Neurospora crassa OR74A: one gene and its partner. The protein of the gene in region 1 purifies or fractionates together with the protein of each later gene. This does not show direct contact. Links are inferred from orthologs where the notes say so. Each region holds a gene or a part of one and is shown on either strand. Other genes may lie near its edges.

What was found.
Region 2: the proteins of NCU02496 (region 1) and NCU03246 purify together in Schizosaccharomyces pombe (affinity purification with western blotting; 3 studies listed by BioGRID, with this or other methods). This does not show direct contact. The link is inferred for Neurospora crassa OR74A from reciprocal best matches to the Schizosaccharomyces pombe genes cdc25 and clp1.

Annotation. Positions count from the first base shown.
Region 1 is NC_026501.1:2,517,941-2,522,022, forward strand, and holds the start of NCU02496 (M-phase inducer phosphatase 3), read right to left. Parts: upstream 2,844-4,082; 5' UTR 2,240-2,843; intron 2,181-2,239; 5' UTR 1,752-2,180; coding exon 1,528-1,751; intron 1,456-1,527; coding exon 1,382-1,455; intron 1,312-1,381; coding exon 1,101-1,311; intron 1,002-1,100; coding exon 1-1,001.
Region 2 is NC_026501.1:5,041,814-5,045,931, forward strand, and holds the start of NCU03246 (tyrosine-protein phosphatase CDC14), read left to right. Parts: upstream 1-1,315; 5' UTR 1,316-1,861; coding exon 1,862-1,919; intron 1,920-2,139; coding exon 2,140-2,442; intron 2,443-2,503; coding exon 2,504-4,107; 3' UTR 4,108-4,118. Other genes in the region: NCU03245 (hypothetical protein), read right to left, coding at 1-248, 462-493. UniProt on the Schizosaccharomyces pombe protein: Protein phosphatase which antagonizes mitotic cyclin-dependent kinase cdc2, the inactivation of which is essential for exit from mitosis. To access its substrates, is released from nucleolar sequestration during mitosis.

The DNA of each region.
Region 1 (4,082 bases):
ATGCGTAGGTCTGGGCCCTACTAAAGCCCTTACGGGTCTGGCGTAGACGGCCCATTTCTCGCTCGCACGTGTTGACATGTTCGGCGTCATTCATCTCGATATACGCTTGAGGGCAGCAACGTTCCCGGTGATTCTGGAAGAATCCGCTATAGCCTCCGTCCAAGATGTAAACATCGGGGTACGTGAGTTTAGGATAAAATTCGGCGTTGATAGTGCGGTCTTCGGATCGTATGTGGCGGGCCATGATGGGCGCGCGATGGGCTGAATATTCGCAATGAAAAATCAAGAGCGTGCGCCCTTCCATAGGGGTCTCGAACAGATGTCTCGCCAAAAGCTCCTTGTCATTGTAATTGATGGCCCCGTCAATGTGGCCACCTTCATACTCGTACTCGAAGCGGCAGTCAATAATCATCCTGTGCGAGTACTGACTACCATACTTGCCGTCAAGCACTTCGAGCAATGTGTCTCGGCTGATGCGTGGGATAGAATCGTTCTCGCCTGAAGGGAAAAAATGTGGCAATAAAGGCTCCTGAGGTTCGTTGACATCCACGACAGACTTGAGACTAGATGGAAGAGATGTGCGCTCCTTAGGCTTGACAATGTCGCCCGGACTCTCAAACATGGACAGCGAGCGGCGGAATGTTTTCCTTTGCCGGGCAAAGGGGTTCGAAGGTGTGCGGGCATTGTTGGTGGGAGAACGTTTGCGAACGCTGTTAATGCTGCTGCCGCTGCCAAAATGAGTCTTGCAGCGCGCTGCCGCTGCATTAGAGCATGGACTACCCGGCAAGACAGGTGTCCGGCGCTCCTGCGGGGGTGATTCCTCGAAACATTCGCTCAATGACAACGACACCGAAGGGGAGATGGGTACCTTGAGGTTCCGGGCACCGAAGCGGAAGGGCGGCAGCCCCGACCCCGAACCGTTGGAGCGCCCGGGTATACTACTCGTGCTATAACCTTTGGCCCGGGCCAGAGGTGGACGAGACAAGCCAAGTCTCCTTCGCCTGGCAAAGAGAAGAGGAGATGATTAGCTTCTGCACAGACCAAAGGACGAGGGTAGAGTTCAGGAAGATTTGCTGATCAAAAGTCAAGCATGAACTTACTCGGCACCGATTCCCTTGGATTCTTGAGACAGCTGCCGCACAGCAGCAGGTGAGTCTGGTAGTGTGTCTTCATCGCCAGAATCCACTGCAGCCGGAGAAGGACTAGCGGCGAGACGTGACAGGAAAGGTGCCTTGATCGGTACCGGAGACATGTCCAACCTGTTAACTGCAGGTGACGAAGATGCAGGAGGCGGCGGCGTGGTTGCATACCCTACAGATCTGTCAGCGTCCGAGCTTTAAATAAGCTATGTAGCAGATTGCTCGCTCCATTGATTACTCACCACGACCTTCAACCGCGTTTTCAATACCTGTTGAGGTGAACAGCGCACGCCGTGGTGTCGGAGGTAACGGGCTACTGCAAAGTTCCATTTGGTCAACACTGTCGACAATGCTATCCGTTGTTCGACTTCTAAGTGAAAAGGCTAACCCTGCTTCATTGAGCTTGAAGTTTTCTGACGACCCGGCGACCAGCGAACCCTTAGGCGAAGACCTTCCTGCATGTTTGGTGTTGAACAAGTCCGCATTGGATCGCTTGAAGTTGAAGAGACCTGTTGGTGGCGCCAAGTTGCCATTGCGCGGTCCAAGCACTTCTGGCTGGCTGAAGGACGGCGGAGCAGGCCGAATCGCGGCCAGGGGCGATGAAGCCTCCATATTATCGTGACAACTCTCCAACCAGTTTCGACTTTCCTACGGATTGGCGTTCGGCATAGATCGGTGTTCCAATTGGTCTGTCGATGGGCCGGGTTCCGTCTGAATACTGAACAAAAGCCAATTCTTGGAGATACGACTGAAGCTTGCGCAGCACTCGAAAAAGGGTCGCCAATCGATGCTGTGGCTGGCTGATTCGCGTTCGTGGAATCGTCGTCACTGTCGTCGAGAGCTGCTATTGTCGGGTTCACCGTCGCGATGCTATGGACCTGGACACCGAGAGAAAGGTCCGCTCGAGTTGGCGCGCACGGAAGACCAAGGGGACTGGACTGGACTTGGGACTTGAAGATTGTCGCCGAGCAAGATGACAGAAAGACCTTAAGCTAACTAGTGGTGTAAACTGGACGCGCCGACATCGATGTCGATCAAAGCCTAGTCCATATCCGTCAGCCAACAATGCCTTCCCGAAAGTGCAGGCAGGGAACTCGGACCAGTTTTAGAAGCTCTGTGGTCGCCGGGATCAAACAATCTCCGTTTTTCCTTGTTCGAAAACTAAAAGTATGGTCGGTTCCGTCTAGTTGTTCAATGCCACGGGCGGTATGCAGCTGTGCAAACCTTTGCGCACGGCAGAACTTCTTTTGGCCGCCACCTGAGGTGTTCTTTTAGGTAGACAGTGGGTTCCGTTGTATTGTGGGTAGACGGGCAGTGATGGCCTGCGGCCTGGGGGCGGGGTGAACGAGGTTCGGCACAAGCGCTCAGCTGCACACGGACAGCCTGGTGGGTGACGGGATGGAGTCTTTTTGAGGACTGCGAATGGGCGACCGCATAGGGTGAACTGGGCTGGCTATGTTGAAAAGCTAGAATAAAGGTCGAAGAGCAGAACGTGCATTCGTTGTTGTAAGAAGGAGGAGCACGTAGGTGTTGTGTGCACGCATGTGTCACGGTCCAATGTTGAGTGAAAGCGAAGAGGGGAGCTGCTGTAAACATCCATCCAGAAGCTGGACGAGAACTCGCAAGTAAACTTGGACCTCGCTCAAGTGGTTGGTAGGAAGTTGACAAAATCGGATGTCTGCGCTGTTCAGTGAGCTAGCTGCCCCTGTTCAGTGGTCCCCGAAAATTGGAGGAGCACTCGGCGACGTTCAAGGTCCTGCCTTCAACTGGTTGGCGGAAGGGGCAACGAGGATGGAGGGTTGCAACGGCGTTGCACCTACGGAAGCCCAACAACGAGAACGACACCAGGCCGAGGCGGTACTGGAGTTGACGCTATCGTGGGTAGGCAGGAGCAATCGGCGCTATCCTCGACATGTTAGAGGAGAGTTTACAGCATCTTAGCGAAAGGTTTACAACATGTTATTACCCGGTTAGGTTGTTTGTAACCGGTGGTAACTGGACTGGGCTGTTACCCAGCAACCTAGGAAGTTCTATGTGGGTAGTACCTGGAGCGAGCGCTGCGCTCGGGCGCTTTCGGAGACCCCTGGCATGTGTCACTTTAATTCCCGTCGTACGGTCCCGTCTGCTGCACATTGCCCAGAGCGGGAGCTTTCCACTTGGCACTAGTGACTTCTGTCTTTCATCTCATCCCTCCTTCTTTGTTTTCGTCAGTATCATTATGCGGGCTTATTATTGCAGTGCATCATTTCATTCTTTCCGTTTACACGAGTTGCTTCTATTGCGCGGGATCGGGCGTCAACTCCGCGGCACATCCCCGGGCCTACCCACGCAGTAGAGAGGTACATAAGCGCTCGCTGAAGACTTGCATTCGGTGCGTCTTTGCGCCGAGGTACATGAACTCTGCCTTACCACGCAGTAGTACCAAGTATTCACTATCACCTCTCATCTTTGTCTAACCTGTAAAATGTCACAATTCCGCTGACACTTTGACCTGTCCTCATTATTTTTTCTACTTGCATGGTCCATACTTCTTGATTCACTCAGGGTCATTTACGCACACGGCAGCCCGGGAGGGATGACAGAAGTGTGACCTTTGAAAGGAATAGGCAAGGGATCGGAACTCGGAAACAATGTCAAAACTTTTGAACACCAAGAACCTGTTCATCGACTATTTGACGAAGAAGTTCTCGGTCTGCGCCTTCTCCTAGTACCCATCAATGATGCCCTGGAACAGCCTGACTGGTTCTACCATGTTGTGATGTTGGAAATCCAGTGGAAACATCGAGCTCGTTACAAGAATTTGAGCCATGGGACATGATTTCGCAGATAAACCAAAACCAAACTCTACTATTCACAGACTCGGTTCAAGTGATGGAGCCTGTGAATGGCTGTGTCGGAAAGCCATTTTGGTGGTGAACCACGGTTGCCTCCCGGCGAGACCCC
Region 2 (4,118 bases), about 2.5 Mb from region 1:
CCATCTCCTCCTGCACCTCCAACACCAACGCTAGGCTGTCCATAAAGGAATTCACGGCAACGCGCAGCATGCGGTTTGTGGTGGCCTTGTAGTCGACTTGCAGGACCGTCTCCCCAGCATGTTCGCTGCCAGGAGACGCAACGGTCGAAAGTTCCCGCTTCACGAGGCCGGAGAGCTCCTTGTCCACCCTCAAAGCCTGCAGGGCAACAGAAGCTAACCGAGCATCAGGGAAGGGCACTCGGAGTGTTCTTGTCGGTTGCTGTGTTAGTGTCGATTATCTTGAAAGGTATGCAGAGTTTGAGTGAAGCAAGGATGTGACGATGATCTCATGAGACGAATGGTACAAGATGAAAAATTGAAAAAAAAATCAAAAAAAAAAATTTCAAAAATTGGAAAATAAACAGAGGATCAAAACATATCAGAACAAGGAATGAAGTAACAATCAAAAACAAATGACCTACAGCGAGCAGGGGAAGTTATCGTCGGTTGCCATGGTTGCGGTCTTTAATAACCCCGAAGTAAACACTTGCAAGAAATATGTTGTCGTGAACCAAAGGGTTTCAGACTGGCACTCGCCTAACGGTTGTCAGGGGAGTTTGTGTGGTAAGCGCTACCCGATGACGAATGTCAAATTCCAACCGCCGCGAGTGTGCCTGGGCTGTGATGACCGATAACAGGCCCTTGTGGGAAACTCTGTAGGAACCTCAAACTGTATCTCACACTGGCAATTCCGCAGTGATGTTACTATCGTCTACAGTTATCGCAAGGTCGTAGGCGGCAGGCTGGCTGAACAGGGAACGAGTTTCGATATTCGGTTGTTGCCGTGTGCTGGGCGCAAAGGCATCATGGCGGCTTTACAGAAAAAGGACAAGCTCCGGCAACACCTCCCTCTCTACCTCAGCTGGAAAGTGGAGCTCTGGGGGGGGATCTCCCGTCAGAGCGAAGCGATTGGATGTTACTGGTCCAGGCGCGACTGCGGATGCCAAGAGAGAAGGTTGTCAGGACAACGGCGGGTGAGATGGAGCTTTGAACGCGCTTATTGGGCGGTGAATTGTTTTGGAAGATACCAAGCCCCCCGAATTCTTCGCTGGCCCACGCTAAACCCCGGGCGCAGGCAGAGCGGTCGGGCAAGATCAGTTGCGACTTGGAGGCGGTCTCTGCATGGAAGGTGAGGTGAAGGTCTCGCTCGTTCTCCGGTTCGCCAGGGTCCCTGCCAATGACAATACACACACGACATACAACCTTGCCAGCAAAAACACCGCTCTTGGTAAGTACCGGTAAAGGCCGTACCTGCTACAAAACCTGTTCTCCGCAACCAGCTCATACCCACCGGTCTTTTCTGACCTCCTCCTCTCGCACATCATCATCGAGTTGCCCACTCCTTTGTTTCTTCAATTCTCCTGCCTCCGGTGCCTTCGTTCTTTACAAGAATTGCATTCTCGCAGCCGGTGTCCTCTCGTCCTTCTTTGGAGGCTTTGGCCCTTGTTTTTGGCCCTTTCATCCCACCCCGCACCTGCAGTGCAGTACACAGTCCCTTGCCTCGCGGTATAGCTACCTAGCCCAGCTTGGCTGCTTGGTTTTCCCTTGTTGGCACACAATCGCTCGCGCAAACGATCTGCGATCTCGACCTCACCTTCTTCCCGTCAATCAATCCGACCATAATTTTGGCCGACCTCAAGTACAGCCCTCAAACGACAAAAGATCGAATTGGACTTTAACATCCTTCGCTCCCGCCTCCCTATACGTAGCTCATTGCATTGCACAGCATCACTATTCCCGTACGTGCGCCTGCGCATTGTCGCAACGCCAATCGCTCTCTCGACATAAACAGTCGACTTTGAGCCTCCCAGGCCACGACGCCATGGCTCCTTCCTCCAGACACTCCAGCAATCTGGGGCAAATCATCGAGTACATTCCCGGTACGTGTAGATTATTTGTGCGCCGCTCCGGTCCTCTTAATTGAAGCTACAATTTTTTTTTTGTTTTGCTTCTGGCTCCGTTGTCCGAAAACTCCATGTTTATGATCCACCCGCATCCCATGTTCACCGCTCCGCAACGGAGCTGCTCGTCCCAATATGAGCACCTTTGAATATCCTCTACAATATCAGCAATTGCCTTACAGTATACTAACCTTTACAGACCGATTGTACCTTGCATCTTACTCTGAACCTCCTACCGAGCATACCTTGTTTCCCTACCCGGATCCTGAACCACGGTCCCCGCGCAAGCGCTCTCAACGAACAATCGACCAGGTCACGGAGCGTAAGAAGCCATACTACTTCACTGTCGACGATACTCTTCTATACAATGCCTTCCACCACGATTTTGGCCCGTTCCACATCGGCCACCTTTACCGCTTCGCCCTGCAGTTCCACGAAATTCTTGGGGCCAAGGAGAACAAAGACAGGCCGGTAGTGTTCTGGAGCAGGGCCGATCCACGCAGTAGGTCATCTAAGTCCGCCTCCTCGAGAACAGCAAAGATTGCTGACCAATGTTACCTTAGGTCGTGCCAATGCCTCTTGTCTACTAGCTTGCTACATGGTTTTGATCCAATCGTGGCCTCCGCATCTAGCTCTTGCGCCGGTCGCCCAGGTTGACCCCCCTCTAATGCCGTTCAGAGACGCCGGCTACAGCCAGGCCGACTACGGCATCACGGTTCAGGACGTTGTGTACGGCGTTTGGAAGGCCAAGGAGGAAGGCTGCTGCGTGTTGGAGACATTCGACCTTGACGAGTACGAAAAGTTTGAGAGAGTTGAGCACGGCGACTTCAACTGGATTACACCCAACTTCCTGGCATTTGCCTCTCCTCAGCATACCCCGGTTGCTCCCACCCCCGAGGGGACCGAGCAGTGGTCACTTCTGCCAAAGACCCTAGCCGCCGTCGACGCACATCCTACGCTGCCGCAGCCCTTCAAAAATGTTCTCAGGCATTTCTCGGAGCGAGACATCGGCCTTGTCGTCAGGCTGAACTCGCAGCTCTACAATCCCTCATACTTTGAAGCCCTAGGAATCAACCACATCGACATGATCTTTGAGGACGGAACATGTCCTACCCTTTCGACCGTACGGAAATTCATCCGCATGGCCCATGAAACCATCTCTAGGAAGAAGGGCATTGCTGTTCATTGCAAAGCTGGCCTCGGCCGAACAGGCTGCCTCATCGGTGCCTACCTGATCTACCGACATGGATTTACAGCAAACGAGGTCATTGCCTACATGCGCTTCATGCGCCCAGGCATGGTCGTAGGGCCTCAGCAGCACTGGTTACATCTGAACCAGGGCATCTTCCGGGAGTGGTGGATTGAGGAGCGGGTTGAGCGGAGGCTGCGCAAAGAAATGGCAGCCGCTGCCGCCGCCGCCGCTCAGGCTAACGGGACAGCGCATCCCAGCACCCCTGTCCGTGCCGTGTCGAAGACGAGTCTTGGTCGTAGCTCTAGCAAAAATGGCGTGTCCACACCCTCTAACAGAGGATCAGTTCGGACACCGCTAGGCGAGATCGATCGGGAGTCGGCGCGTGACAATCATATCGGCGTACAAGAGGATTACCTCCCCGCACCTACGCCAGGACAGCCAAGGAAGACGCAGCGGGGCGCAGTAGATCGCCAGAAAGGATATGGCCGGGGACCTATTCAGACCACTGTGGAGGAAGAACCCGTTCCCATGACAGAAGTGACAACCGAGGTGATCACAGTTCACAAGAGCTCAAGAGGGCCGAGTTCAGAGGAGGAATGGAATCTTCGAAGATCTCGGCGAAGACAGTCTGCTGCTCCAACTTCACCAGGACAACCCCCCGAACGGTCTGTCACCCACCAAACCGCTACCACGAAAACGACTGTTTATCAAGTCATGGATAATGATGCATCGAACGATATCGAGAACATTGGTACTGCCGCAGCACGAATCAAGGCCCATGACCACGCTCCACGCACTAGTTCCGCGTCTGGAGTTTTGACCAAGATACGAGGCAACACTAGTGCGAAACGCCATCCACCTGGGAGCGTCAGAGAAGCTGGTGTTCGAAAGACGAGTGGACGAGTTGGGAGTATAGGGAACTCGACAACCAGTCCGGCCGCTGTATCGGCAATGCGTAAAATAAGTGGGATGTGACCCTATTCTCA